Macaca mulatta: one gene and its partners. The protein of the gene in region 1 purifies or fractionates together with the protein of each later gene. This does not show direct contact. Links are inferred from orthologs where the notes say so. Each region holds a gene or a part of one and is shown in the gene's direction. Other genes may lie near its edges.

What was found.
Region 2: the proteins of MAD2L1BP (region 1) and MAD1L1 purify together in Homo sapiens (co-immunoprecipitation; 4 studies listed by BioGRID and IntAct, with this or other methods). This does not show direct contact. The link is inferred for Macaca mulatta from reciprocal best matches to the Homo sapiens genes MAD2L1BP and MAD1L1.
Region 3: the proteins of MAD2L1BP (region 1) and LBR purify together in Homo sapiens (co-immunoprecipitation; 3 studies listed by BioGRID and IntAct, counting the BioPlex papers as one, with this or other methods). This does not show direct contact. The link is inferred for Macaca mulatta from reciprocal best matches to the Homo sapiens genes MAD2L1BP and LBR.

Annotation. Positions count from the first base shown.
Region 1 is NC_133409.1:138,479,250-138,489,534, reverse strand, and holds MAD2L1BP (MAD2L1-binding protein), read left to right. Parts: upstream 1-3,485; 5' UTR 3,486-3,504; coding exon 3,505-3,550; intron 3,551-4,018; coding exon 4,019-4,284; intron 4,285-7,648; coding exon 7,649-8,161; 3' UTR 8,162-8,529; downstream 8,530-10,285. UniProt on the Homo sapiens protein: May function to silence the spindle checkpoint and allow mitosis to proceed through anaphase by binding MAD2L1 after it has become dissociated from the MAD2L1-CDC20 complex.
Region 2 is NC_133408.1:36,189,216-36,198,968, reverse strand, and holds part of MAD1L1 (mitotic spindle assembly checkpoint protein MAD1), read left to right. Parts: 5' UTR 1-71; intron 72-463; 5' UTR 464-476; coding exon 477-626; intron 627-4,944; coding exon 4,945-5,085; intron 5,086-7,730; coding exon 7,731-7,910; intron 7,911-9,753. UniProt on the Homo sapiens protein: Component of the spindle-assembly checkpoint that prevents the onset of anaphase until all chromosomes are properly aligned at the metaphase plate.
Region 3 is NC_133406.1:83,139,379-83,149,131, reverse strand, and holds part of LBR (delta(14)-sterol reductase LBR), read left to right. Parts: intron 1-2,135; coding exon 2,136-2,327; intron 2,328-3,324; coding exon 3,325-3,428; intron 3,429-4,313; coding exon 4,314-4,439; intron 4,440-8,229; coding exon 8,230-8,398; intron 8,399-9,753. UniProt on the Homo sapiens protein: Catalyzes the reduction of the C14-unsaturated bond of lanosterol, as part of the metabolic pathway leading to cholesterol biosynthesis.

The DNA of each region.
Region 1 (10,285 bases):
GTTGGTCAGGCTGGACTCGAACTCCTGACCTCAGTTGATCCACCTGCCTCAGCCTCCCAAAGTGCTGGGATTACAGGTGTAAGCCACCGTGCGCCCAGCCCTATTTATTTTTTAAAGGTGGCGAGGAGGAGGAAGAGAGAATGATTGATTGATTGATTTCTTTTTTTCTTTTTGAAGTAGGATCTCCTTCTGTCACCCAGGCTGGAGTGCAATGGCACAATCTTGACTCACTGCAACCTCCATCGCCTGAGAGCAGTTCTTCCACTTCAGCCCCCCAGGTAGCTGGGAATGCAGGGGCGTGCCACAATGCCTGGCTAAGTTTTGTATTTTTTGTGAAGAAGGGGTTTGCCATGTTGCTCAGGCCGGTCTTGAACTCCTGGACTCAAGCAGTTCTCCCATATTGGCCTCCCAAAATGCTGGGATTACAGGCGTGAGCCACCATGCCCAGCCAGACCCAGTATTTTAATCACTGTACTTTTATAGTATGTTTTGACCTCTGGTCCCTACTTCCTGAAACATACCCTTTTCTTGGCCTCCATGACCTGACACTTGTCTTTTTTTTTTTTTTTTATAAAGACCCCATCTCTACTAAAAATACAAAATATTAGCCGGGTGTGGTGGTGGGCACCTGTAATCCCAGCTGCTTGGGAGGCTGAGTCAGGAGAATTGCTTGAACCCCGGGGGCAGAGGTTGCAGTGAGCTAAGATCATGCCATTGCACTCCAGCCTGGGCAACAAGAGCGAAACTCCATCTAAAAACAAACACAACAACAAAAAAACTTTTGGACTCAATCAGTCCCTCCACTGTCAAGCAATTCTCCCATCTCGGCCTCCCAGAATGCTGAGATTATAGTCGTGGAGCTACCATGCCCAGCCAGACCCAGTATTTTAATTATTGTGTTTTTTTTTTTTTTTTGAGGCGGAGCCTCACTCTGTCACCCAGGCTGAAGCACAATGGTGTGACCTCAGCTCACTGCAACTTCCACCTCCCAGGTTCAAGGCATTCTCCTGCCTCAGCCTCCCAAGTAGCTGAGATTATGGGGATGCACCACCACGCCTGGCTAATTTTGTATTTTTAGTAGAGACAGGGTTTCTCCATGTTGGTAAGGCTGGTCTTAAACTCCCAACCTCAGGTGATCCGCCTGCCTCAGCCTCCCAAAGTGCTGGGATTACAGACATGAGCCACTGCGCCCGGCCTCTAATCATTGTACTTTTACAGTATGTTTTGACTTCTGGTCCCTACTTCCTGAAACACACCCTTTTCTTGGCCTCCATGACCTGACACTTGTCTTTTTCTGTAGGGACAAGGTCTCATGTTGCCCAGACCGGTCTCAAACTTCTGGATTCAAGCATTCCCCTTGCCTTGATTTCCCAAAGTGCTTACAGGCATGAGCCACCATGCCTGGCCCCACTTGTCTATTTTGGTTTTGGAGGCGGGGTCTCACTCTGTCACACAGGCTGGAGGGCAGTGGTTCGATCACAGTTCACTGTAGCCTCAACCTCCCAGGCTCAAGCAATCCTTCCACCTCAGCCTCCCAAAGTGCTGGGAGTACGGGCATGAGCCACCTTGCCCGGCGATTTGTCTATTTTTCTTTATCCTTCTGTGGGTACTCCTTAGTCTTCTCCATAGGTTCTGTCTCTGTGGTCATCCCCTAAATGTTAGTGTCTTCAATAACCTAGCCCATTCTCATTCCACACCCTCCCTGGGTGATGTTATCCACTCACATGATAATGGCTCTTAAATACATGTCGCTATTCCAAATGGCATTCCTAAATATTTCTATTCATTGTCCTATGGAGATGTCAAATTCAATCTGTGAAAAGCTGAACTCATCTTTTCTCCTACTCACCTCCCACCCCAATAAACCTGGTCCTCTTTTAGTGTTTCCTCCATTCTTTTTTTTTTTTTTTGAGTCATGGTCTCACTCTGCTGCCCAGGCTGAAGTGCAGTGGCTTAATCATAGCTCACTGTAACTGTCGAACTCCTGGACTCAAGCAATCCTCTGCCTCAGCCTCCTGAATAGCCAGGACTACAGATGTGCACCCACCACACCTGGCTAACTTTTAAAAACTTTTTTTTTTTAATTTTGCAGAAACAGGGTCCCCAATATTGTCCTGGCTGGTATCAAACTCCTGGCACAACTGGCCATACAATTGCTGAAGTCAGAAACCTGCTTGTTTTCTTGTCAGTCTTCTTTTCTTTTCTTTCTTTTGACATGGAGTCTTGCTTTGTCACCCAGGCTGGAGTGCAGTGGCGTGATCTCAGCTCACTGCAACCTCTGCCTCCCGGTTCAAGCGATTCTCCTGCTTCAGCCTCCTGAGTAGCTGGGATTACAGGTGCATGCCACCATGCCCAGCTAATTTTTGTATTTTTAGTAGAGACAGGATTTCACCATGTTGGCCAGGCTGGTCTCAAACTCCTGACCTTGTGATCCACCTGCCTTGGCCTCCCAAAGTGCTGGTATTACAGGTGTGAGCAGCCACGCCCGGCCTCTTGTCAGTCTATTTCTATTCCTCCTCCTCCTTGTAAATCAATCACCAAGTTATGTTCACTGGACCTCCTAAATATATCGAGTTACCCAATTATCTCCACCCCACTGTGACTACCCTAGCAGTTTAGGCTGCTTTCATCAAGTACTCAGGTAATTGCACTACCTCTAACTGGTATCCCTGCCTCCTCTCTTATCCTCTCTGTAATCCAATCTCTACCCTGCAGCCAGGGTAGAGATTATAAGATGTAAATTTAATCATGCCACTCTCCTACTTAAACCTTTCAAAGCTTCCCCATCTGACTACAGGATCAAGTCCAAACTCTCACATGGCTTACACAGTCCTGCCATGATCTGGCTCCTGTTGTTCACTACAGCCTTAACTCTTTATAATATGAACTCTTTTCATTCCTTGAACAGAGTATGCTCTTGTCTCAAGGTCTCCTGGAGCACTGGGCCCTCCTCTTTACCTTGCTGACTTATCCTACAGGTCACAGCTTCACACATTTCTTCTGGGACCACTCCTTCCCAGCCCCTACCCTCTCTGGGTCAGGCACCCTTGTTTTTCACTTCCACACCCCGTGTAAACCCTTCTGTATAATTCATCACATTGTATGGTATCTACAGGCAGTGAACCCCTTGAGTACAGGGTCCGCGCCTGGCTTGTTCTCCGCTGAGTCTCCAGCACCTAGGACAGGGCCTGGCACGAAGTAGGTGCACAGTGAGTAGTGAATGCTGGAGTGAATGGATGCGTGAGGGTTGGTGTCTTTTGGAAAGCAGCGCTCATTGGCTGAGAACGCCTGGGTTCTTGCTGGGCAAGGGTTAGGCGTATATTTGCCAGGGTGTTAAGGAAGGAACGGAGGGATCAAATCCCAACTCCACTTAGCCTCCCCAACACTGCCGTGGCGCCGCGCCTTTTTTCCGGCCCAACTGAACCGGAAGTGGAGGCGCGGGCTTCCCATGATGCCCCGCGGGACCTTTATTCTAACCGCAAGGAGTAAGGGGAGGAGGTCGTGATGGCGGCGCCGGAGGCGGAGGTTCTGTCCCCAGCCTCAGTCCCTGGTAAGGCGTGGGGCCCAGAGTTTGGGAAGCCTTAGGGACCCGTTTCTTCCCTACCTCCGCGCCCTCCATTTATCCCTTGGTCCTCTCCCTAGCCCATCTTCCCTGTCTTCCGGGTGTCCTACAAGGCTCTAGCTGTGACTCCATCGCCGTGGGTCGCACTGGACCCTGCTTGACTACACTTTTGACTCATTTCCCCAGATCAAGTCCCGCTGCTTTCTGAGCGGGGAGCCCTAGTTACTACCTCCGAAATACCCCCACTATCTTTCAGTCAATTAAATCTCCTCAGGCAACAGGGATCAGGAATCTCTCCCTGCCACGGCCCACACTGTAGGCTGCGGAGGGTATGGGCGTATGTCGGAGTGCCTGCTTTCTCAGGGTGGCTGGTTTGGTGGCCACAGGGAATGAGAAGACTGACTTTGGCTTTTAGGTTTTAAATTTTTCTCTCTTGTCCCTCTTTTCATCTACCAGATTTGGAGTGGTATGAGAAGTCAGAAGAAACTCACGCCTCCCAGATAGAACTGCTTGAGACAAGCTCTACCCAGGAACCTCTCAACCCTTCGGAGCCCTTTTGCCCAAGAGACTGCATAGTACCAGTGGTGTTTCCTGGGCCTGTAAGCCAGGAAGGCTGCTGTCAGTTTACTTGTGAACTTCTAAAGCATATCATGTACCAACGCCAGCAACTCCCTCTGCCCTATGAACAGCTTAAGAACTTTTACCGAAAACCTTCTCCCCAGGTAGGCACAGGCTTTGGGAGCAAGTTGGTGGGAAGACTTTGTGGCTCTTAGATGGGAGGCAGGTAGAAAGGGGGTCTAAGAAATCTTCAGAGCCTGAGAGACTAAGCAGCTTCCAGGGCTTCAGTCACTTTCTCCCCATTCTAGTCTTTGGTAGCCTAACCCTTCTGGCTTTTTCTCCTGTTCTTTCTTTCTGAAACTCGTGTTGCATTTGGTCTTAATGAACTGGCTCTTCGCATTTTTTTCTTTTGAGACAGAGTCTCGCTCTGTTGCCCAGGCTGGAGTGCAGTGGTGAGATCTTGGCTCACTGCAATCTCCCCCTCCTGGGTTCAAGGGATTCTCCTGCCTCAGCCTCCTGAGTTGCTAGGATTACAGGCTCCCGCCACCACACCCAGCTAATTTTTGTATTTTATGTTTTGAGACAGAGTCTTGCTCTGTTGCCCAGGCTGGAATGCAATGGCGTGATCTCTGCTCACTGCAACCTCTGCCTCCCAGGTTCAAGCGATTCTTGTGCTTCAGCCTCCCCAGTAGCTAAGAGCACGTGCCACCATGCCCGGTTTATTTTTGTATTTTTGGTACAGATGGAGTTTCACCATGTTGGCCAGGCTAGTCTCGAACTCCTGACCTCAAGTGATCTGCCCGCCTTGGCCTCTCCCAAAATGCTGGGATTACAGGCGTGAAATACTGCGCCCGGCCTGCATGTTTCTTTTTAATAGCATCCTGTTGTTGAATTTCTGTATGAACTTTTTTTTGCTTTGTTGTTTTTTTTTTTTTTGAGATGGAGTCTCACTTTGTCACCCAGGCTGGAGGAGAGTGGCACTATCGCAGATCACTGCAACCTCAGTCTCCCAGGTTCAAGTGATTCTCCTGCCTCAGCCTCCCAAGTAGCTGGGATTACAGGCATGCACCACCACACCTGGCTAATTTTGTTTGTTTGTTTGTTTTTGATAGGGAGTTTCATTCTTGTCACCCAGGCTGGAGTGCAGTGGCGCCATCTCGGCTCACTGCAACCTCTGTCTCCCAGGTTCAGGCGCTTCTCCTGTCTCAGCCTCCTAAGTAGCTGGGATTATAGGCATGCGCCGCCATGTCCAAATAATTTTTGTATTTTTAGTATAGACAGGGTTTCACCATGTTGGCCAGGCTGGTCTCGAACTCCTGACCTCAGGTGATCTGCCTGCCTCAGCCTCCCAAAGTGCTGGGATTACAGGCATGAGCCACCATGCCCAGCCTGTTTGTTTTCTGAGACAGAGTCTCGCTCTGTTGCCCAGGCTGGAGTGCAGTGGAGCGATTTTGGCTCACTGCAACCTCCACCTTCTGGGTTCCAAGCGATTCTCCTGCCTCAGCCTCCCAAGTAGCTGGGATTACAGGTGTGTACCACCACACCCAGTTAAATTTTGTATTTTTAGTGGAGACGGGGTATCGCCATTTTGGCTAAGCTGCTCTCAAACTCTGACCTCAAGTGATCTGCCCATCTTGGCCTCCCAAAGTGCTGGGATTACAGGTGTGAGCCACCACGCCTGGCTTACCCAGCTAATTTTTGTTTTTTTAGTAGAAACGGAGTTTCACCATGTTGGCCAGGCTGGTCCCAAACTCTTGACCTCAGGTGATCCACCTGCCTCAGTCTCCCGAAGTGGTGTTGGGATTACAGGTGTGAGCCACCGCACCAGGCCATGAACTTCTTTTGCCTGAGGATATTATTTAATTTTTGAAGTTTTTCTTTGTTCTTTGCGGCATCTCAGTTTCTTCTAGAATCCATTCTCCATTTGTTTTGTTCTGGTCTTTGACTTTCATGTTGGAGAATTTTATTGTGTCTGGTGAATATTTAAGAACAAATCACTGCAAGCTCTGTGTGCATGCCTGGGCCTTATGAGCTTATAGACTTCACTATAAGGAGATTAGGTGGCAACCTGGTGATCTCTTTGGGGGGATTCCTTAAACATAGTATTGGAAAGTCTTCCCTCTGGATGGGGGAGAAATTTGGCAGATGATCTAAGCATCTTGACACAGATTTTCATTCATTTCCCCTATATTCATTCTTGCCTCTGTGGTGCCTGTATCACCACTTCCTAAACCTTTCTGGGGTTCTGCTGTGTGTATCAGTTTGCATCCCTTGGGAGTCCCTTCTGTCAGCACTTGGTATTCAGCTCTCTTGAACTCTTAATTCTTCACCTTCTTTCTTTTCTTTTTTTTCTTTTTTTTTGAGACAGAGTCTTGCTCTGTCGCCCAGGCTGGAGTACAGTGGCGTAATCTCGGCTTACTGCAAGCTCCGACTCCCGGGTTCATGCTATTCTCCTGCCTCAGCCTCCCAAGTAGGTGGGACTACAGGCACCCGCCACCACGCTCAGCTAATTTTTTTTTTTTTTTTGAGACGGAGTCTCGCACTGTCGCCCAGGCTGGAGTGCAGTGGCGCCATCTCGGCTCACTGTAAGCTCCACCTCCTGGGTTCACGCCATTCTCCTGCCTCAGCCTCCCGAGTAGCTGGGACTAGAGGCGCCCGCCACCACGCCCGGCTAATTTTTTGTATTTTCAGTAGAGACGGGGTTTCACCGTGTTAGCCAGGATGGTCTCGATCTCCTGACTTTGTGATCTGCCTGTCTCGGCCTCCCAAAGTGCTGGGATTACAGGCATGAGCCACCGTGCCCGGCAAGGCTAATTTTGTGTATTTTTAGTAGAGACAGGGTTTCACTGTGTTAGCCAGGATGGTCTTGATCTCCTGACCTCATGATCCACCTGCCTCGGCCTCTCAGTGCTGGGATTGTAGGCATGAGCCACTGCGCTCGGCCAACTCTTCATCCTCTTTCTGTCTTCCAAAACTTTGTGTTTGCATTTGACTAGTGTTGTGTAGTCTCCAGTTCTTTGCCCTTGGGAGTTTTCTTTCTCGGTCTTTCCTCTTCTTTCGTTCATTTGTTTCTTAATTTCTTTTCTCTCATTTTGTAGTATTTCAGGTGGAAGCGCAAATAAGCATTGTTCAGTTTACTATGTTTAAGTGGAAGAACAAGTTCAGAGTCATGTTTATTAGACCAAATAATCCTTATTCCTGTTATCACTCCCTGTATAGCAAAAATTTGTTGTCACTTTGTCATACTACCAAATCTCTATTTTAGTTGTTTATATCTGGATATTCTCCACCTTCAGAACACTGTGTTTGCTGTTCTATATGTGGGAGAATTATGGTTTTGTACAAATAATATATTTTCCTTTTCAGTATAATGCCCTCTGATAAAACACAGTGTTGTGGCTGTGGCGGTTCATTGAGCTAGAAATTCAGTCCTGTAAGTCTATGTACACATCCCAGCAGGGTTCTTTTCAAAGGGCATTAGCTTCCCCCTGCCTTGTTCTTCTCTCCCGCCATTCTTTGTCCTCACAGGCAGAGGAGATGCTGAAGAAGAAACCTCGGGCCACCACTGAGGTGAGCAGCAGGAAATGCCAACAAGCTGTGGCAGAACTGGAGAGTGTCCTCAGCCACCTGGAGGACTTCTTTGCACGGACACTAGTACCACGAGTGCTGATTCTCCTTGGGGGCAATTCCCTAAGCCCCAAGGAGTTCTATGAACTCGATTTGTCTCTGCTGGCCCCCTACAGCGTGGACCAGAGCCTGAGCACAGCAGCTTGTTTGCGCCGTCTCTTCCGAGCCATATTCATGGCTGATGCCTTTAGTGAGCTTCAGGCTCCTCCTCTCATGGGCACCATCATCATGGCACAGGGACACCGCGACTGTGGAGAAGATTGGTTTCAACCCAAGCTCAACTATCGAGTGCCCAGCCGGGGCCATAAACTGACTGTGACCCTGTCATGTGGCAGACCTTCCATCCGAACCACGGCTTGGGAAGACTACATTTGGTTCCAGGCACCAGTGACACTTAAAGGCTTCCGCGAGTGAATGAGTGCTTCTTAATTATAAAAACACAATGGCTGAATTATCTTTCTTCATGTGGCACTGAATTACCCATCTAGTTTGGAGCTAGAGTTTCTTCCTGGTGAGAGACGAAGCAACTCTCCTTCTGGTTGTCTGCCTCCCCTCCTCAGGTTTCCTGATGGGCTGATGGCATGTGGCGGTGACTGTAATCATTGCTGAACAACATCTCTTTGAATCAAAGGTTGATTTTCCCAGAGGGTGCTGGGTCAGGTATTTCTGTTAGGGGTTGTAAAGCAAAGATGGGTCCATAGACAGAAACTCCATGAAGGTGGCCCTTTCTGCTCCTTGCTGTGTCCTTTCAGAATTTTTCCCAGGAACATAATGTGGATGTGACTTATGAATTTAAATATAAAATAAATAGATTCTTATTATATTTTCCTGAAATTCTTTTGACTTAAAATAACTTGTCAGGTTTTAGGCTATTTTGTCTTTCTCCTTGGCCTCTTCTGCTTCAGGGCGTCTCAAAAATTTATTATATTTTTCTTTTTTGAGATGGAGTCTTGCTCTATCGCCCAGGCTGGAGTGCAGTGGCATAATCTTGGCTCACTGCAACTTCCGCCTCCCAGGTTCAAGGAATTCTCCTGCCTTAGCCTTCGAGTAGCTGAGATTGCAGGTGCCCACCACCACACCCAGATAATTTTTGTATTTTTAGCAGAGATGGGGTTTCACCATATTGGCCAGGCTGGTCTCAAACTCCTGACCTCAAGTGATCCACCTGCCTTGGCCTCCCAAAGTGCTGGGATTACAGGTGTGGGCCACTGTGCCCAGCCTTAGGATTTTTTAATAATGATTTTTTCTCTTCTTCAGCCCCAGGCTAATCTAGGAAGTTAAGTGACTTGGCCAAGTGCATATGTACTTTGATAACACAGTTAGGACTAGAGTCCTCATTAGCTATCTTTTAGCCAATGTGCTTTTCTTATCACATACAGATTTTTGTGATGCTTAAATTCTGTATCCCCCAAAGCAGAGGTCATCTTTATGTGGGAAGATTGTGGTAAAGAACTTAGCTTACCAGGCCACTGAATAAAAGCAGTGATTTTGGGAAATAGTCTGGCCTGGTGCTTGGTTTGTAGTAAACTGAGCAGGTATGCTGAGTAGCGAGAGGGGAGGAGCCACTGTGCCCGGCCAAACACCTCAATTTTTGGAAGCAAGTTGAAGACAGAATCCACACTTTGCTGGTGTTGGGGATAGGTATATGCATGTGTATGTATAATATATAAATGGTATATATAGGCTAGGTGAGTAACTCATGCCTGTAATCCCGGCACTTTGGGAGGCTGAGGTGGGCAGATTGCCTAAAGTCATGAGTTGGAGACCAGCCTGGCCAACATGGTGAAACCCTGTCTCTACTAAAAATACACACACACAAAAAGGCCAGGCACGGTAGCTCATGCCTGTAATCCCAGCACTTTGGGAGGCTGAGGTGGGTGGATCACAAGTTCAGGAGTTCAAGACCAGCCTGACCAATATGGTGAAACCCTGTCTCTACTAAATATACAAAAATTACCCGGGCTTGGTGGCGAGTGCCTGTAATCCCAGCTACTTAGGAAGGCTGAGGCAGAATAATTGCTTGAACCCAGGAGGCAGAGGTTGCAGCGAGCCGAGATCACGCCACTGCACTCCAGCCTGGGTAACAGAGTGAGACCCTGTCTCAAAAAAAGAAAAAAAATTAACCAGGCGTGGTCGTGGGCACTTGTAATCCCAACTACTTGGGAGGCTGAGGCAGGAGAATCGCTTGAACCCAGGAGGTGGAGGTTACAGTGAGCTGAGATCATGCCACTGCACTCCAGCCTGGGTTACAGAGTGAAACACCGTCTCACACACACAAAAAAAGGTATATATATACTCACACGTATGTACATAGTATAAGATACATATATGTACTCCTAAAATACACTATTTTTTAAAAAGTATATGTACTATTTTAAGCACTTACATTATCTAACCCTAACAACTCTGCAGTGCATGAATTATTGTCCCGATTTTATAGATAGGGCCAGGGGAGATTGAGCAGTTTGCCTAAATGGTGAAACTTGGATTCCCCTACAGTACTGCACATCCTATGTGGTTTTACTCTGAAATATTTAG
Region 2 (9,753 bases), on another chromosome or scaffold:
TGTGTCACACTGCCAGGCTTCTAGGGCTCCAGCTTACAGACGGCCTGTTGTGGGACAGTCTCCCTAATCGTGTGAGTCCGTTTCCCTAATAATGCCCCTCTCGTGTGTCTGTCTCTGTCCTGTTGGCTCTGTCTCTCTGGAGAACCCTCTTACAGTGCTGTGGGAGGATGTGCCACCTGAGTGCTGAGCTCCGCCTCTTGGGCGCCAGCTGTCTGTGTGCAGCTGAGACTCAGTCGGTGGCTCGGTGGCGGGGATTTGGTGGCATGCTTTCTTGCTTCCATTTTTTGTCTGGTAAATTGGCAGCATGGCTCCCAGTTGCCTTTGAAGAATGTGGTTACAGACACTGGTGTATTATGGGCTCCAATGAGCGTTAGGGGAGTGGGGATGTCCAGAGGCCCCGCTGACTGCACAGCTGATGGCACGTAGAAAGGCTGGCCCTGACCAGTCCTTTGTCTGTTCCCAGAAGGAAAGCAACCATGGAAGACCTGGGGGAAAACACCACGGTTTTATCCACCCTGAGATCTTTGAACAACTTCATCTCTCAGCGGGTGGAGGGAGGATCTGGACTGGATATTTCCACCTCGGCCCCAGGTTCTCTGCAGATGCAGTACCAGCAGAGCATGCAGGTGAGTGGCATGTGCCTGGGTGGGAGTCTTCTCTGGGGAGACCCCTGGGCCCAGGCAGGGCCTGTTCAAGTGTTCTGTAGTTGAGGTGGGTCAGTATTAGCTCAGCCTAGAGACCAGCTGCTCATCTTCCAGGCCTCACTGTGGCCACTTCTCGTTTTGGGGCAGTAGCTGGAGGCTAGTTGGGGCCCTGAGCCATCCTGGCTCGAAGGCCTGCCTTGTTAGCACCCTGAGTGGGCCTGGCGCTCAGCATTGCATTCACACAAGTGCACCCACAGACCCTGGTGATAGGATCGGAAAGCCAGTTCGTTCATCTAATTGAGGACAGAACCCAAACTGCCTGGGAGTGTGAGCAGCAGGACCGTCGGGCAGGCTGTGTCGGAAACACAGTGCGGGAGTGCCCGGCAGCCCAGAGACAAAGCCACAGCCGTGAGCAGAAGGACGGGATGTTTTGTGGTCTCAGGCTGTAGAGGGCCATTTTCAGATTTTGGGGTGATTTTTACGGATTTCTTCTATAAAATAGTTGTATTTGGTTTCGTTACAAGTTCTTGGGGGATTGCTCACTGTAGACACAACTGCAGAGGACTCAGGTCTCCTGAAGGACTTCAGGATCCAAAGAGTGATGGGCCCAGCCCCACGTGGGGCTGGGATAACGGGGCCCCCGAGTGGTGGGGAGTGGAGTGCTGGGGAGTGCTGGCAAGTAGTGTCTCCAGCCTTGCCTGGGCCCTGTGGCTGCACAGGCTCCTCTAGACCCCTCTGCCTGGACCCTCTTTCCCAGTCCCTGCTGCAGGCCCCAGAGCCATTCTGTAGTCCTGTGCCCATTAGAGGAGGCTCTGGCTTCCTGTGCTCTCAGAGCCCAGATGAGGCCCTGCTGCATTTGGTAAAGCTGTGTGTGTGTGCATTTGTTTTGTTGCATAATTGAATTAATATGTGTTTATTAGAATGCTAGCTTGTGGCTGGATGTGGTGGCTCACGCCTGTAATCCCAGCAGTTTGGGAGGCCGAGATGGGCGGATCACGAGGTCAGGAGATCGAGACCATCCTGGCTAACATGGTGAAACCCTGTCTCTACTAAAAATACAAAAAATTAACTGGGCGTGGCACCTGTAGTCCCAGCTGCTCGGGAGGCTGAGGCAGGAGAATGGTGTGAACCCGGGAGGCGGAGCTTACAGTGAGCCGAGATCGCGCCACTGCACTCCAGCCTGGGCGACAGAGCGAGACCCCGTCTCAAAAAAGAAAAAAAAAAAAGAATGCTGGCTGCTAGCTTGCTTACTGCCGTTTCTTCATGAGGACAGTTTTGTATTCTGAGATTAGGTCACATATATATGTGTGTGTATGTATATATGTGATATGTATATGTAAATGCTCTTTTATGAAATTATGAAGGTAATAGATGGTTGTTGTTTTTATCACTGGCAAAATTAGAAGTTGCCAACTCTGAACTGGTTGCGGCGGCTCACGCCTAGAATCCCAGCACTTTGGGAGCCTGAGGTGGGTGGTTCACTTGAGGTCAGGAATTTGAGACCAGCCTGACCAACTTGGTGAAACCCCATCTCTACTAAAAATACAAAAATTAGGCGGGTGCGTACACCTGTCATCTCACCTACTCGGGAGGCTGAGGCAGGAGAATCGCTTGAACCCAGGAGGCAGAGGTTGCAGTGAGCTGAGATCACGCCACTGCCCTCCAGCCTGGATGACAGAGTTGGCAACTCTGGTCTGAAATGCTGTAATTTCCTTGTTGCAAATGTCTGGGACCTCTTGGCCTATCTGTCAAAGCTTTGGGATTCTAGTCTGTCTTGGACCTGAGAGGCCCCCAGTGCTCACTGTTAAGGGCCTTTCGGTGAGGGGATCTGTGATGGGGTGCGGTAGTCAGAGCGAGGTGGCGAGCAGAGTGATGTCGGTGAGCCCAGCCTTGGTCCCTGGCCCCTGTCACATCCCGTTTCTGGACTTTGTTGTGGTTGTTTCTCTCCTGCTGAGCCCCCGGCATGGCAGAGAGGGCCTGGAGTCCATGGCAGGCCGGGGAATGTGTGCTGTCTGGTTTATCACACATCTGTGTTGATTTAATGTAAGGGCAAGCTTTCAGTTGCTGTCTTTCAGTTGTAGTTAGCTCCAGGCAGAGGTGGCACACGGATCAGGTGTGTCTGGGACTCCTGGTCCCTGCCGGTCGTGCCCCCTGCAGGTGGGGTGCCCACCCTTCTCGAGAGGCTCAGGTTTGACTGCAGACACAGAAGTGAGACCAGGAAGGCTGCTGAGTTTGAAGGGCAGTCTTAGGAATGCCCAAACAGCGGCAGCTGGGAATCGAGACACGGTAACATAGTAAGAAAGGAAGCGTGGGCTTGGGCCACCAGAGAACACAGGTGGGAGGACAGAGAAACTTCCCTCCCCCGTCCCGGGCTTTCCTAGCCTTGGCATGCTTGGCATTTGGGTTGGGTAATTCTTTTTTTCTCAGGACTTTCTTGTGCATTGTGGGCTGTTGAACAACATCCCTGGCCTCTACCCCCTGGATGCCAGCCAGCAGCACACACATATGACCACCCTTCTGTGACAGTCAGGTGTCTCCAGACAGTGCCAGATGTTCCCAGGGGCAAAACTGGCCCTCACTGGGAACCACCACTCTACTCTGGTGCTTATCAAACTTTCACGTGCATGTGAACGCCCTGAGAATGTGTTTAAAAAGAAGTTTCTTTTTTTCTTTTGGAGACAGGGTCTTACTCTGTCATCCAGGCTGGAGTGCAGTGGTATAATGTTGGCTCACTGCAGCCTCCGTCTCCTGGGTTCAAGTGATTCTCCCACCTCAGCCTCCGGAGTAGCTGAGATTACAGGTGCGTACCACCATGCCCGGCTAATTTTTGTAGTTTTGACTAGAGACAGGGTTTCACCATGTTGGCCAGGCTAGTCTCGAACGCCTCACCTCAAGTGATGTACCCACTTTGGCCCCCGAACTACTGGGATTACAGGCATGAGCCGCCGTGCCTGGCCTAGATTTTTTTTTTTCCAAGACGAACTCCTGCCCTATCACCCAGGCTGGAGTGCAGTGGTGTGATCTTGGCTCACTGCAACCTCCACCTCCTGGGTTCAAGCATTTCTCCTGCCTCAGCCTCCTGAGTAGCTGGGATTACAGGTGTGCACCACTACGCTGGCTAATTTTTGTATTTTTAGTAGAGACGGGGTTTCCCCATGTTAGCCAGACTGATCTTGAACTCCCGGCCTCAAGTGATCCACCCGACTTGGCCTCCTGAAGTACTGGGATTACAGGCGTGAGCCACTGCGCCCAACCTAAAGAGAAGATTCTGATTGAATAGATCTGGGGTGTAGCCTGAGACTCTGCATTTGTTAAGTGCTGAGAGATGCTGCACTGCAAGGCTCTGGGCTATATGAAGAGTTGGTGACTGCCTTTTCCTCCAGCTGAGCAGGTCGTACCCAAAGGCCGACTCTGGAACTGTTTGGCAAGTCTTCTGGGGCTCTGTGAGGCTCAGCTCACCTGTAATCACTAGGCCTGTGTGGTAGGCAGGCTTCTGAGAGGGCCCCCAGATTCCAGGCTCTAGTGCACACTCACCTTCCTACTGCCTCCCAGGTTTAAGTCGATACTGACTAGGTATCATTGTGGGATTGTGCAAATGTAATTAAGGTCTCAGATCTGTTGACCTTGAGATAAGGAGATTACCTGGGTGGACTTGATCCACTCCCTGGGTGGGCTTGATCTGCTCACCAGAGCCCTTTAAGTCTCAGTCCAGACATCTGAGGCGGAGCAGTCAGAGACATGGCAGGAGCGGGATTTTACAAGGGAGATTGGACGTGGTTGATTTTGGAGAGGGAGAGGTCCATGTGGCAAGGGATGTGGGCAGCTCCTAGGAGTGGATGGCCGTACTGGGCTGGCAGCTGGTCGGGAAGGAGACCTCATTCTCCATCCCTGTGAGCTTGTGAGAGGATGCTGAGCTCTACCTGAGAACACGACCTGGTCGACTGCATTGATTTTTAGCCTGGGAGACCCTGTTCAGAGAACGCAGCCACCTACGTCTGGACTTCTGACCCACAGAGCCATTGGCTGGTAAATAAATGGGTGGCATTCGAGGCCATTGCGTTCACTAATATGCTTAATGTCATCTCAAAAGACGTCTTCCTCTTCCTAAGCTTTTTCACCTTCCCACTGCCTGCCACTCCCCGGTTCCCCTGCCTGGGGCCCGGTAGCTGGGGCACATCAAGAATTATCACAGGACCTGCGGGAATGGGTGCTCAGAGATGTGTCCGCTGCACTGAGTCACTCAACCTTGTTTGATGCAGTCACTGAGCATTCTGTTTTTCTTTGGGTATGTCCCTCTCAGCTGGAGGAAAGAGCAGAGCAGATCCGTTCGAAGTCTCACCTCATCCAGGTGGAGCGGGAGAAGATGCAGATGGAACTGAGTCACAAGAGGGCTCGAGTGGAGCTGGAGAGAGCGGCGAGCACCAGTGCCAGGAACTACGAGGTGGGTTCACGTGGGGCGAGGGTCAGCCCAGCCAGCCACTGAAGCAAGGGGACTGTGCACCGTACCTGCCAGGTCGTAAGAAATCAGATCCCAGTACCTGGGAGCAAGAGGGCTGTGCACGGTACCTGCCAGGTTATAAGAATTCAGATCGCAGCCCCTGGGAGCAAGGGGGCTGTGCATGGTACCTGCCAGGCCGTAGGAAATCAGAACCCAGCTGACTGGAAGCCTGACATGCCCTGTGTCACGGTTGCCAGGACATTCCTTCTGAGGCCACGCATGCTGTGGGGCAGGTATTGGTTATGCTTGCTGTCCTAGAGGAGGATGGCATGAAATGGGAACACTTGCTGTGTCTGTTCAGTGAGGCTGCAGTGCCGGCACAGATTCCTTTGTTGGGTCTCCTGGTTTCCTCTTCCCTCTGGAAGAATTGGAATGCAGGTCTGACAGAAATGCCGAGTGGTGTAGGAGGGACAGGCTTAGGAGGTCACGGGGTGGAACAGGGTCCCGGTCCATGCTGGGCCTTTGGGTTGGAGGGCCCTAGCGAAGGGTGCCGGCCTCACTGGTGGCTGTGTGTTGCTCCTGGCTCACCCAGGGCAGCAGGGAAAACACCCTGTCCTTGGGGAGGGAATTAGGTTTCCACTGAGTGTGCGAATTCCCTCTGCTCTGATGAATAGCGCTTTGCCAGCGTTTCGGTCAGTGCTGATCAGTTGTGGAAATGCTGCCAAGGTTCAGGCAGAGTATTGGGCGGGAAGTCTCCTTGGCCTGTGTGCCCTCTTTCGGCGGGTAGATGTCTAGCCCCTCCCTGGCATCGTGCGGTTTGTTCACACACTCTCCTAGGCCCTAGAAAAATAGCTCACGTCTTCCGGGGTGTGATGCTGGTTGGATTCCTTGCCCCTGGCCTGCAGATCCTGGCTGTGGTGCGTTGTGTGGGCTCAGTGAGCCTGAGGTGCCATGGGGTGGGGGCCACAGCCTCAGGCTTGGCTCCATTGCTGCTTTGAGAGCTGTTTTCCCTGAGAGGTGGGGCTTTTGCTCACGGCCTGGGTGGGTCCTAGGAGGGACAGTCCTGGAGGAATTGGTGGGAAGGGGAGGGAGAGGCCACAGGAATCTCCCTAACTATTGAGGTTCCCTTGTTAGGGGTAGAGAGGTGGCACCAGGTCATTAGTTTGGAGGCAGCGTGCTCATGGCATGGCTGTGGCTCTCAGGCAGGAGGAACGGAGTGTGCAGCTGTTGGAGTTCCTCTGGGGCCGAGAGTCCCTGAGGGCAGGGCCCACCTGACTCCGCCTAGGATCTCCATTGTGTGGCGCAGCTTATGGCATTTTATGGGTACTCACAAATGTTGTATTGAGGGAGGAGTCATTGTAGGGTCTCCGGGGGCCCTTTCTTGGGGAAATCCAAGAATGCAGGTGAGTGAGCTTACACTTGGGGCTCCTTGCTGAGCTCCAGCCACCTTCTAGCAGGACTTTCCTTCCTTGCCCACAGACACAGCTGCACAGGATCCCAGGAACAGTTGGAACCAGTAGTCTTCCAATTGTTCCTTGGAGTTCCACCTGGAAATACCTATTAGGGGTTGAGACCTAAGTGTCTGAAGTCCGGCGACCTGCTGGCTGCCCTGTCTGCACTAGGACTGGCAGTCCCGGGCCTGGTGCCCCATCTGGCTGTGATGGTGCTGAGCGGAGCCCCATGCCAACCCCAGCTCCTGTTCTGCATCACAGAAGAGTCTCTTGGTTGTTGTGAGGCAGCCCTTGCAGCTCACAAGGGCTAGAGTCCCTCCGAGGTGCGGGTCAGCCTCTCTCAGAAGGCAGCCACCTCTGTAACACCTCTCCTGGGCTTTGGGCTGGAGTACCCCAGATGAGGACAGCACAAGCTCATACTCCTCCCTGGGCTCAGGGGGAGTGCTTGGAGCTTCCCGAGGAAGGCAGGGCGAGAGGGTCCCAGAGTGCTGGGCTCCATCAGGACTCACCGCCTTCACCTCCTGGGACTCTTGTACCTGGCAGTGAACTTGCAGGGCCTGCGGGTCATTAGAGTCAGGAGGTCTGAGCGTGCTTCTTGGTTATGTCCCATCCCAACCAGTGAGAGCCACGCAGCCTCCCCAAGGCCAGTCGGGGGGGTGGCTCTGGAGGTTTGTGTGAGATGGTGTGCATGTGTGGCAGATTTGAGCCCAGTGTAAACTGCTTCTGTCCGCAGCCTCCTGCTCACGCCACCTGTCTCTGCCCCATCGGCTGCTCGCTGGGGGAGTGCCAGCTCATTTCAGTGCCGGCCAGAGTGAAGTTAGACAGGATTTGCTGGTGCTGTGAAAGCTCAGCTTCTCCCCAAGGTCAATGCTGAATTGTAGATTTCCCGTGCTCCCTCTCCCTGCAGAGGCAACTGCTGAGCAGACGGTGTGATGAATGTGTGTGTGATCTGTGCCAAGTGCCCGTCCTGGGAGTCCTGACTTTGCACAGTGCTCACCGTCATGGCGCCTCAGCGGGGGCGCCGGCACTGGAGCTGGGTCCCAGGTTCCATCCTGGTTCTGCCGCTGACTTGGCTGATGCGTCCTGCTCACCTCTTTTTTGCGCCTCGGCCTGTTCTGAGAGAGGCGTGGGGGTGAGGGCTCCCCGCTGACCCTCCCGTGGGTGGCACATGGCATCTGACTCTTGCTCTCTTGACAGCGCGAGGTTGATCGCAACCAGGAGCTCCTGACGCGCATCCGGCAGCTTCAGGAGCGGGAGGCTGGGGCGGAGGAGAAGATGCAGGAGCAGCTGGAGCGCAACAGGCAGTGTCAGCAGAACCTGGACGCTGCCAGCAAGAGGCTTCGTGAGAAAGAGGACAGCCTGGCCCAGGCCGGCGAGGTGAGCGGGGCCTCCGCTCCGCGGGGACTGCCCTCCTGGCACTGTTTTCCTGAGGAGAGGGAATGCATGCTCTTGTTCACCACTGCAGCGCCGCGCCTGTGTTATTAATTGTGCTTCCCACACGGACAGCTGCGTTTTTTGCATAGTTGTAATCAGTAGAAGTATTAATTTTCCATTCTATAGTTCTCAATTAAAAAGTTGAGCACTTGGGCTGGGCGTGGTGGCTCATGTTTGTAATCCCAGCACTTGGGAGGCCAAGGTGGGTGGATCACCTGAGGTCGGGAGTTGGAGACCAGCCTGGCCAACATGGTGAAACTCCATCTCTACTAAAAATACAAAAATTAGCTGGGTGTGGTGGCGGGCGCCTGTAGTCCCAGCCACTCGGGAGGCTGAGGCAGGAGAATCGCTTGCACCGGGGAGGTGGAGGTTGCAGTGAGCTAAGGTCACGCCATTCCACTCCAGCCTGGGCAACACAGTGAGACTCTGTCTGAAAAAAAAAAAAAAAAAAAGTTAAGCAGTTTTTTTGCATTTGTAATTATGAATTTTGAAGGCTGATGAATCCGTTTTTTGTCATTTATGGACTTTTAGTGTGTTTGTGTTCACTTGTGTATCTATGCAGCCTTCGCTTCTGTTGACTTTGGACAGACCCCTAGGCCTGGGCTATAAGGTCCCCAGCGATGGCGGTCTCTGTAGCGGTTGTTCTCAGAGCCCCGGCTGAGGGCTCCAGTTTCCCTGCAGCCTTCCCTGTCGTGGATGGTGGTCTTTTCTGGAAATAGTTGTTCTTTCGTCAGGAGGCTTAAGTAGGCACGAATGGATTTGCATTTCTTTGACTATCCGCAAGGTCTACAGGCATCTGATGGTGTCGGGAGAATTGCCTCTGAACCGGAGCCTGTGTGAACCACAGTCCTGGTGAAGGTTGCTTGCATTTTAGAAACAGCCTGGATGTGGGCGCTGGTGGAAATTGGAATCTTCTGACCTCTCCTGTCCTTTTTCTGTGAAGATCAAGATTGCTGGTGCCAAGAGGAGACATGCAAATCTGCTGGCATAGGGGTGGGGGTGGGGTGGGCGTGCAGCAAGCGTCCTGGAGGGGTCCAGAAACTGGCCCTGCGTCCTTTCTGTGGGTGGTGCTGGGGAAGCGTGTTGAGGTTGTTCCCCCATCTGCTTCTGGAGGGCACGTTGGCAGGAAAGGAGGTGTGATTGGCCTCCGAGAAGCTGCTCTTGCCTTGCCCGTGCTCTGGGTTCCAGTTCCTGTGTGCTGGGCTGTGCTGGAGGTGGGTCAGACCCTGTCCCCGCTGCCTGTGGGCACCTGCGGTTCCATGGGGGAGGGTGAGTCGTGCCCAGCACTCCACGAGGGGCAGAGGAGTGGGAGACTGCAGGAGCCGCAGGGTGGTGCCCAGTGGGGTGGGGCTCCGTGAGGGGAAATCGCGCTGCTGCAGGCGCTGCTGCTTTGGCCTGTCACGTCTAAGCTAGGGTGGCAGCTCCTCAGGGCAAACCCTCCTGCTCACTAGGCCTTGGCTGCCTTCTCCTGTCACAGGGCCCTGATTGTCAACCTCCTTACTCTGGAATTGTCTTATGTGCCTCTTCCTTGCCAACTGTCCGGCGTCCCCTACAACACAGGTGCCCCTGCGGGCAGGTGGGCTCGGCCCTGCATCCAGCCTGGTCCCGGCATCCGGTGTGTATTAGTTGAGTTCAGAAGACCTCTGGGAGGATGTGTTTATTGTTAGTATGTTTTTAATACCTTCTTTTTTGACTCCCAGGTTAATGCTTCACCATTGGGTGAAGTAAACTGTACCCGTTGTGGGCATTCTGGGAGCACACCGCCCCCATGCGCGCCTTCCCAGAG
Region 3 (9,753 bases), on another chromosome or scaffold:
TGAATGATTTTCCATTTGACGAGATGGAGTAGAGTGTTTTCCTTTTCTTGAGAATTACATTATATATTTTAATGGTTGAACTTTTTATCCTTTCAATTCTTCATTTTCTAACTTTGGATCTTTGTTTAGAGACTTACCCAGCATCTACTCTGTCTGCAGTCACTCTCCTGGGTTCTAAAAGGGAAGCCAAAGATAGTTTAGACACCTTCTGCCTTTTAGTGCCAGTCACGTGACAAGGCATCTGACCTAGCTCCAGCATCTGACCCCTGGTGGATGCTTAATACTTGTCGTTGGTATTGTTAGACTTTTTGTTGCTTTTACCAAATTCTTTGCTGATGGAGCGAGTTTTAGAACCTTTGGCACCCTCCCTCCCTCTGGTGGTTCACTTGCCACACCAGGGAAGGTGAGTCTGGGGCGAGGTGGGTTGTTGACTTTGCTGCCAGGTCCTTTGATTTCAGTGTTTTGTGTGTTTCTCTGCAGGCACCGATTCTTTTCTAAGTAGTCTTGTGTTACATTTTCACTTCCCTCTGAGGGGTGTGGTACATACAGAGACTGAGCACAGTGCTTGGAGCTCTTGTAGCCAGTGGGGGAGTGGCTGGCCAAGTTGCTTGATCCTTTTTAAAAATGTCCTCATCTAATTACTCGGGTTCAAGTATTGAGGTTTCTTTTCATGAATTTTACCATTATTAACTAAGGAGATTCCTAAGACATTTTGGATGATTATTTTTAATTCACGTGGACTAGAGAGCAAAAGACTGCTTCATCTAACCATTCTTTTTTAAAATATACATTTTATGAAAGGTAAATGAATATCTTTAAAAGTCAGAATTTAAAATTAGAAGTTATTATTTGGAGTATTTGTGGAAAATGTGGATTCAGATCAGTTGAGACAACTATTTTATTTTACAAAAGGTTTGGTTTTAGAATTCTCAAATAAATAACAGCTACTTCTTTTTTGCGTTTGACCATTTATCCTAATGTGATTTGATGACTTTTTAGGAGCACAGCTCTTTCAGGCACTCAGCTCCCTTGAAAGCAAAACTATTTCTTTCTTTTTTTTTCTTTTTTTTTTTTTTTTGAGACAGAGTCTTGCTCTGTTGCCCAGGCTGGAGTGCAGTGGCGTGATCTTGGCTCACTGCAACCTCTTCCTCCTGGGTTCATGCCATTCTCATGCTCAGCCTCCCGAGTAGCTGGGACTACAGGCGCCTGCCACCATGCCTGGCTAATTTTTTTTGTATTTTTAGTAAAGACAGGGTTTGACCGTGTTAGCCAGGATGGTCTCGATCTCCTGACCTCGTGATCCGCCCACCTCGGCCTCCCAAAGTGCTGGGATTACAGGCGTGAGCCACCGCACCCAGCCACAAAACTATTTTTTTAGCCAAAAGGAAAAATTGAATCTCCCAGTGAGCCTTTCTGTGTGGCAGCAGGACTAGCCTGGAACGAGAGTTCTTTGGAACCTCACAGGGTGGGTGCTTTTTAACTTGGCATTGCCCGTGAATGTGCCCACCTGCTGTCCCTACCCCATGGGTACTCACAGTCCCCTGCCTGGCCTCCAGCATTTGTGTTGTGGCGTCTTCTCTGCGGGTGGCATCTTAAGAACTCTGTTCTGGATGGTAGAGTTTAACTAGAATCTTTTGAAACCATTATTGACAAGTTGGTTAAGTATAAATATTTATAATTTTGTAACTACTAACCTAGCTCAGTGCCTGGCCCCTGGTGAGTGCATAATACCCTCCCTTTAGGTAATGGCATTAGACTTTAAAATGTGTGTTTGGCTCAGCTCTGTTAATAATTAGCCATTTGACTTTGTGCCTGAGAGTTTGGATTGTGGGAATTTTCAGGTTGCACTTCTTGTCAGTTTTCCCTTAATTAAAAGCAAATAATGACCATTTGAACTGAAGAAGAATCAATATGTTAAACTATTTGGAAAGTTCTACAAGAGATAATGGTATGTATATTGAAGATTATACCTCAGGACATTGCTTATTTGCATATTTGTGTGTATTTAGTCTGAATAATGATATTAAGACTTTAAAAATGAACATTGTATTGTTTCATAATGGCGTACGTCTCCTGTGAGCCTTGGGTTAACATAAATTTTCCCCTTCCCTTTTTTTTTTTTTTTTTTTTTAAAGGATTCTATGCTTTTATCCTGACATCTGCAGTCATCGGAGCATCTCTCTTCCAGGGCGTAGAGTTTCATTATGTGTACAGTCATTTTCTTCAGTTTGCACTTGGGGCCACTGTTTTTTGTGTGGTCTTGAGTGTGTATCTCTACATGCGCTCTTTGAAAGCACCCCGGAATGACCTGTCGCCTGCCAGCTCTGGTGAGCAGTGATGAATCGCGTGTTGGATGAATGCGTCCCAGAGCCCTCCAGCAGCCATTTCCAGATTTGAGTAGATTGCTTTTTTTCTAACTTCATTTTTGGGAAATGAAGAGAAGAAAAAATGAAAAGATGAAGAAAAAAGTTAAAGAGATATGAATTTAAAAGAAGAAAATGTTTTTCTTTTTCCTTCATACTTTCTTATTCATTTCTTTTTTTTGCAGTTGCTTGATGACAGTAAGACGTTTAGTAAACTTACAGGCGTTTTGACTTATGACAAATATTATTTCTTTGTCCAAAATAGTAAATACTCTTTAAAAAGCAAAAACAAAACAACAGAGGTTGCTGGCTGGGCGAGGTGGCTCACACCTGTAATCCCAGCACTTTGGGAGGCCAAGGCAGGCAGATCACTTGAGATCAGGAGTTTGAGACCAGCCTGGCCAATATGGTGAAACCGCGTCTCTACTAAAAATACAAAAATCAGCTGGGCGTGGTGGCACATGCCTGTAATGCCAGCTACTCGGGAGGCTTAGGCAGGAGAATCACTTGAGCATGGGAGGCGGACGTTGCAGTGAGCTGAGACTGTGGCACTGCACTCTAGCCTGGGCCACAGAGCGAGGCTTCATCTCAAAACAAAAGACAAAAGAAACGAGAGGTTACAAATTGGTTGATGCTGAGCTAAAGTATTTAAAAAAATGTCGCCTATCTAAAAAAATTGTGAGTGTAAAGTCCTTTGGGGGGCCCCCATGATTTTGGTTGTTTTTTAAGAAACCTGGGGTATCTGGGTCCCCGGCTCCCCAAAGGCTGTAGTAACTGCCCTTTCAGTTGGGCAGGCGTCTCCCCTAGTCTGTGCCGTCCTGTCTACCTCTCATCACCAGAGCTCTGCTCAGGCACTTGCAGGCAGTTGAATTGTGAGCCTGGATAGTGGGCAGCAGTGCAGTTTTAAAGCCTCCTGACTGGGTTTGGAACACTGTTTGGGTAAACACTTTTCCCTTCTCAGGAAATGCTGTCTATGATTTCTTCATTGGCCGTGAATTAAACCCTCGAATTGGTACTTTTGATCTCAAATACTTTTGTGAATTGCGCCCCGGATTGATTGGATGGGTATGTCTTTTTTTTTTTTCTTTCTAAATTTCAATTCAATAGGTCTAATTAATTGCTAGAAAGAAATGTAGACCATTTAAAAATAAGCAGTGGGTGGTATATTTTTAGGGATAATTATGGCTTTCCATAAATCTATCAAAATATTTTCTTGTAAATATTTTCCAGAGGTTTAAGATATGACAAATTAAGTATCTTTTCTTTGCTTTATTATCAGTTTATATTTATATAGGAAAGTGATAGTGTGGATGCATTTTCCTCTTTTTTAAAACCTTATTTTTACCTAGTTTTAGGCTTGGAGTTGCAGATATATAGCAAAGAGTTCCCTTCCACCCTTCACTCTATTTCTCACAACGTTAACCTCGGAGGAAACCAGTGTGTAATGATGAAGAACTGCAGATTAACATAGCGACAGCATTAGTTACCGAGTTTGCAGGCCTCAGTCGAGTTCACCAGTCTTTCCGCTGTTGTCCTTTTTCTGTTCCAGGAACCTCGACAGGACTCTACGATGCATTTGGTTGTTATTTCTTCTGAGTCTTCTCTAGTCTAATAGTTGTTTAGGCTTTCCTTGTCTCTCATGACCTTGATACTTTTTGGAAAGTACTGGTTGGTTATTTTGTAAGAGTGTCCCTCAGTTTGGGTCATTCCAGTGTTCTCTTTGATTGGGGTGAAGTTATGCACTGTGACAGGAACACAGAAATGATAACTGTGTCCTCAGTGCATTGGGTCCAGGGGCCCATGGTGCTGAGATGTCTTATTCCCGGTGGCGGGTAGGTGTTAAGGTGGCATCTGCCAGGTGTCTCAGCTGTGAAGCTCACTCATGCCTTTGTAGTGCTAAGATCCCTGGGGAGGTGCTTTGAGGCTATATACTTTCCCCTTTTATTTCAGGTGGTTATTAACTTGGTGATGCTTTTGGCTGAAATGAAAATACAAGACCGTGCTATTCCATCCTTGGCCATGATTTTGGTTAATAGTTTCCAGCTTCTCTATGTGGTGGACGCTCTCTGGAATGAGGTAATTACTTTTAAGAGCCGAGGCCTTGGAGTCAGATGGCTTTGAGTGGGTGAGTGACCTGTCAGAGCGTCGGCTTCTTGCACACAAAGTGAGGGGAGCACGGCCTGCCTCCAAGGCTGCTTGTGAGGACGATGAGGCCATCCATGCGAAGCTGAGGAGGGAGCGCTGACAGGTGGGAAGTTTCTAGGCATTTGGGAGTGCTTTGGTGTTTATCAGCTGATCTTGTGTTTAAAAGTAATATTCTCAATATAAGATTGGTGGATCTTGGGTTTGTTTTTGTGGGCGGTGGTAATTATGGTATCACATGAAAATGGATGGATTATTACCAAATTAGTATGGTGTTTCTTGGATTGTCAAGAGTCACCTGGTTTTTAAATAATGGGGGAGGTGTTTTATTGTTAGTATTTTAAAATACAAAGACTAGCTCTAATTAGATGAACGTAAAATCAGAAATCAAGATGCATTGAGGAAGCCTGTTGAAATAAGGCTAAGTTTTCATCTCGTGTCTTTTTTCGTACATTGATTAGTCTTTCTGCTAGTTGAAGACTGGTAAATGTTTTGTTTGTTTTCTGTGTCTCAACCAGCATATTCCTTTAAAAAATTTTTTCTTCCTCAGGCTTATTTTACAAGTATTTTATCATATTTACTGTTATCTTTGTAATCATCTCCAAATTCCACGTCTAGTTTTCTTTCCATATTAAAAACAAATCTGGCAGCTGTACATCATAAAGTTCCAAAACAAGTTTTAATGACAGTGTGTTGAGACAGTCTGCTGACATTTTGAGAGAAGACCTTTTCTCTTTGAGCCTGGAACATTAAAAAAAAAAGTGTATTATTTGGCCATCATTACTATATATCTCCCCCACCCCTGCCGGCTGGTCTTTAATTGTGGCCTTCTATGCAAAATTGCAGAGAATATTGAGTCAGAACAACTTCGCAAGTTTGATATTGGTGTTTGATGATCTTCTTGTTATTTAGGAAGATTAGGGCCACTTTGAGGTAAACCTCAATTACAAGTGGTGGGATTAGTGCTATCCGCTAATTACGGGTTCCTGTTGCCCTCCTACCACTTCACAGACCCTGGCTCAGAGCCTGGGAAGCTGTGAAGGTGGTGATAGCACTTCAAATTGACTTTAAAAATTCCAAGTCGATCCAAAATTAAACATGTTTTTGAAATTAAAAAACAACTCTTTTGTAAATGCACTTACTATTACCAGTGTAGCTTTGTTTGCTGTTATAGAATGAATCGCCAAAAGAGCGTATAGGTAACAGTTTGCAAATCAAATGATATTTCACTGTTTTGCTCACCTCAGGCTTCTTTAAAACTTCCTTTCTAGTAGTTTTCCATTGATAAGTGATCATTTCGTCTGGTTTCATCTGTTAATAGCTTTCTGCCATGTTGTGGTCTTCACTTTTCAATTGGCTTAGAAGTTCATATTTTCTATAGATTTAGCCAAACACTGACCTCTGTTAAAAGAAAATTTTTTTGCATTTTAAGGCAAAATTAACATAGCCCAGGGGTAGACAACTAGAGTTAGGAAATTGTTTTCTGTCTGTTCTCAGTATCTCAGCCAGATGATGATAATCTTCTTGAGGAAGTATTGTATTTTATGATTTCTGTAGCATTCTGGCATACCACTGGGCAATTAGCAGATGCTTAATAACTTTTTTGTTAGGTCACTTGATAGAAATTCCTCGTATTCACGAATGTGCTATACCTTAAGAAAATGGAGACTACCAGTTTAAATATGTATGACCCTTCCTCTGAGTCCAGCCTGTGAAAACCTTGGGGCTCAGGAGCTGGTGGGGCTAAGGTCCTCCCCCTGACCTGGCACTGGGTGCTTACCCTTTGCCCTCTCACTGCTACTCACCACACTTGCTTTTATCTGCTCCCTCCGTTTTGTCACCTTTATCCTCTTTTGGACCAGGAATCAGATCACAGGCCTTGAGAGAGAAGAATAAGAAGACACTCTCGGGGACAGAAAGTTAAAACACCATGTATCCTCACTTACATGTGAGAGCTAAAAAAGTTGATGTCATAGAAGTACAAAGTAGAACAGAGGATGTGGGAAGGTGGGAAGGGTAGGGAGAAGGGAAAGATAGGGAGGGAGAGGTTTGCTAAAGGATATAAAATTACCACTTGATAAGAGGAGTAAGTTCTAAGTTCTAGTATTCTGTACTGCTGTAGGATGACTATAGTTAACAGTGATACATAGTTGCAAATAGCTAGAAGGATATTGAATATTCCTAACACAAAGAAATAGTGTGTTTGAGATGATGGATATGCTAATTATCCAGATTGGATTACTATATATTACATGTATGGCAGCATCACTGTGTACCCCATAAATATGTACAATTATTACATGTCAATTTTTTTTAAAGAGAATAAAGAACTCTGGTAACTAAAGAGTATAAGCCTAAGGAGGTAGATTTTGTGGGATTGGTGTTTCTGTTCCATATGACATCTGTTTTTCTGTTCCATGGCCTATTTGCTTTCTTTTCTGGAAAAAATCCTATTTGGAGGTACCACTCTTTTTCTTTAACCTAGAACTTTGATTCTCCAACAGAGCTTATACTGGCTAATTTTTCTTTTTCTTTTCTTTCTTTCTTTCTTTTTTTGTTTTTTTTTTGGAGACAGAGTCTTACTCTGTCGTCCAGGCTGAAGTGCAGTGATGCAATCTCAGCTCACCACAACCTCCGCCTCCTGGGTTCAAGTGATTCTCCTGCCTCAGCCTCCTGAGTAGCTGGGACTACATGCGCCCGCCACCATGCTTGGCTATTTTTTTTTTTTTTTTTTTTTTTGTATTTTTAGTAGAGACAGGGTTTCACTATGTTGGCCAGTTTGGTCTCGAACTCTTGACCTTGTGATCCACCCGCCTCAGCCTCCCAAAGTGCTGGGATTACAGGTGTGAGCCACCGCGCCCGGCCTATACTGGCTAATTTTTCAACATCAGTGGTCTGTAGTGAGGTTCCAGGTAGTTTGGAGATTCCCTCAGGCCAGACCTTCAGAGTGTTGACCTTGGCGGTATGTCTGTATTCTAGAGTCTGGCCTGCCCCTTATCCTGGTCCAGAGGCGAACTGGCTCACGCTAAGCAAATCACCAGGGAGTAATGCACTTTTATTAATTTGCATGAGAAGTGAAGCTGTCAGTTCACCATGTTGCCAGGCAGCTTAATTTCTTCTGTGGAAAATCTACATGAAAAGCCAGATTATGATCAGAAATTAGATTGGTGCATGTGGAACTGAAACAAAAAGAGTTGGTGATCATATTCCTTCAGCAAACATATTTTGAACACTTCTCTCCATGGCGGACACTGTGCTAGTTACTGGGGTCGCAAAGGTAGAAACACACAACCTCTGTCTTTTAGAGGCTTTTAGTATAGTGGAGAGTGACTAGACAAGTACAGTAACCCAATTGCTGTAGCCTACTGGTGGGTGGTGACATCTGAGAAGTGCCCAGGTCTGAGCCCTACTGGTGGGTGGTGACATCTGAGAAGTGCCCAGGTTGGAGGAGGGGTTGCCAGCAGAGGGGAGGGCCTGGGCATGGGAAATGCTTTAGAGATCTGTTATCTCGGGAACATGAGCGAGAGGCTAGCGTGACAGGAGAATGTGATGGCAGAAAGACCTAGCAGGCCAGGGGAACCAAATCTCTCTCCCCTTTAACAAAAAAATGTTGGTTGTGGACCTGCCCATAGCACTTTATACATTTGCCTGTAAACTAGTACTTTATTTGAATACTTTAAACATAGAAGCTCTTTCTCCCTTTCCCCTGTCTGTATCCTTATAGGAAGCGTTGTTGACGACCATGGACATCATCCATGATGGATTTGGATTCATGCTGGCTTTTGGAGATTTGGTGTGGGTTCCGTTTATTTACAGCTTCCAAGCCTTTTACTTAGTTAGTCATCCAAATGAAGTGTCTTGGCCAATGGCATCTCTAATTATTGTTCTGAAACGTGAGTATTAATTTTAGTCTCAGTTTAATTTATTAAATATTATGTACTGAGGCTTTTATGCTCTGATGTCTACATATTTGAAACATGCCATTTTGAATGGTCAGCATTAGCTCAATTCGAAGCCATTTATGATGAGTAATAAAAAGTCTGCATTTTGCAAAGAGAATGGATGGTTCGTACCTGGGTTCTCAGTAGTACTTGAAACAGATTATTTTAAATGAACCACCTTGCTTTTAAATTTAATAAATTTAAGTTGGTTAAATTTGTTTTTAGTAACCTTACGTTTTTTCTCTTGAGTGCCTGCTTTTTCTGGTAGGCATCTTATAGAGAAGATTGATTTTGCCTTCATAGAGCTCGCGTTCTAGCAGGAGAAATAAGACATGAGTGAGCACCGAGAGGGGCTTAGATGACGGGTGTTTAAGGTAGAGACTTCTCTCTGGGGAGCTTTAGTGTGAACTTATTGGAGGATATGGTGTTTGATTTGAGTTTTAGAGGGTAAAATGGGATGGAGAGATCCAAAAGTCAGGCACTGGAACAGCTCAGCAAGGGTGTATGGTGGGGAAGTGTGAGATGAGGTTGGGAAAGACGGAGAAGTCCAGTTTGGCTGCAGCTGCAGTTCACCAGGGTCAGTCATGTATTTTACTTCAGGATGAATTTTCTTTGTCCTTACCCTGTTCATTAAACCCTTAAACACTTGTACTAGAGGTTGGGCAGGGAAAATTAGCAGTGAACTTCAAATATAGATAGTTTTGCTACACTAGTTAGTATCTGTGGTAGAAGAAGAAATTCAAACCATTGGTTAAAATTAAGATTTATTTTCACCAGTGATTTGGTTGTCCATGTCCATTTTATGATTCAAGACAGTATATTTTATAGTTCAGCTAAAAATGGGGGATGTCTTAGTCTGTTTTGTGCTGCTCAAACAGAATAGCTGAGACTGGGTAATTTGTCATGAAATTTATTTGGCTCATGGTTCTGGAGGCCAGAAGTCAGAGAGCATGGTGCTGGAATCTGGCAAGACCCCTTCTGCTGCAGCATCCCGGGGTGGAAGGTGGAAGGACAAGAGAGAGGGAGGGAGGGCAGGAGAGAGTGAGGAAGAGCAAGAGAGGCTGAACATACTTTTATAACAAACCCACTCGAGATACTGAGCCCACTCCTGTGATAGCGACATTAATCTGTCCATAAGGGCAGAACCCTCATGACCTAACCATCTCTTGAAGGTGCTACTGTCAACTCTGTTGCATTGAGGATTAAGTTTCCAACACGTGTACTTTGGAGGACACATTCAAACCAAAGCAGGAAGTGAGGTTATTCTCTTACTAGTTTATTGAGGATCGACTAGATAATAGTTAAAT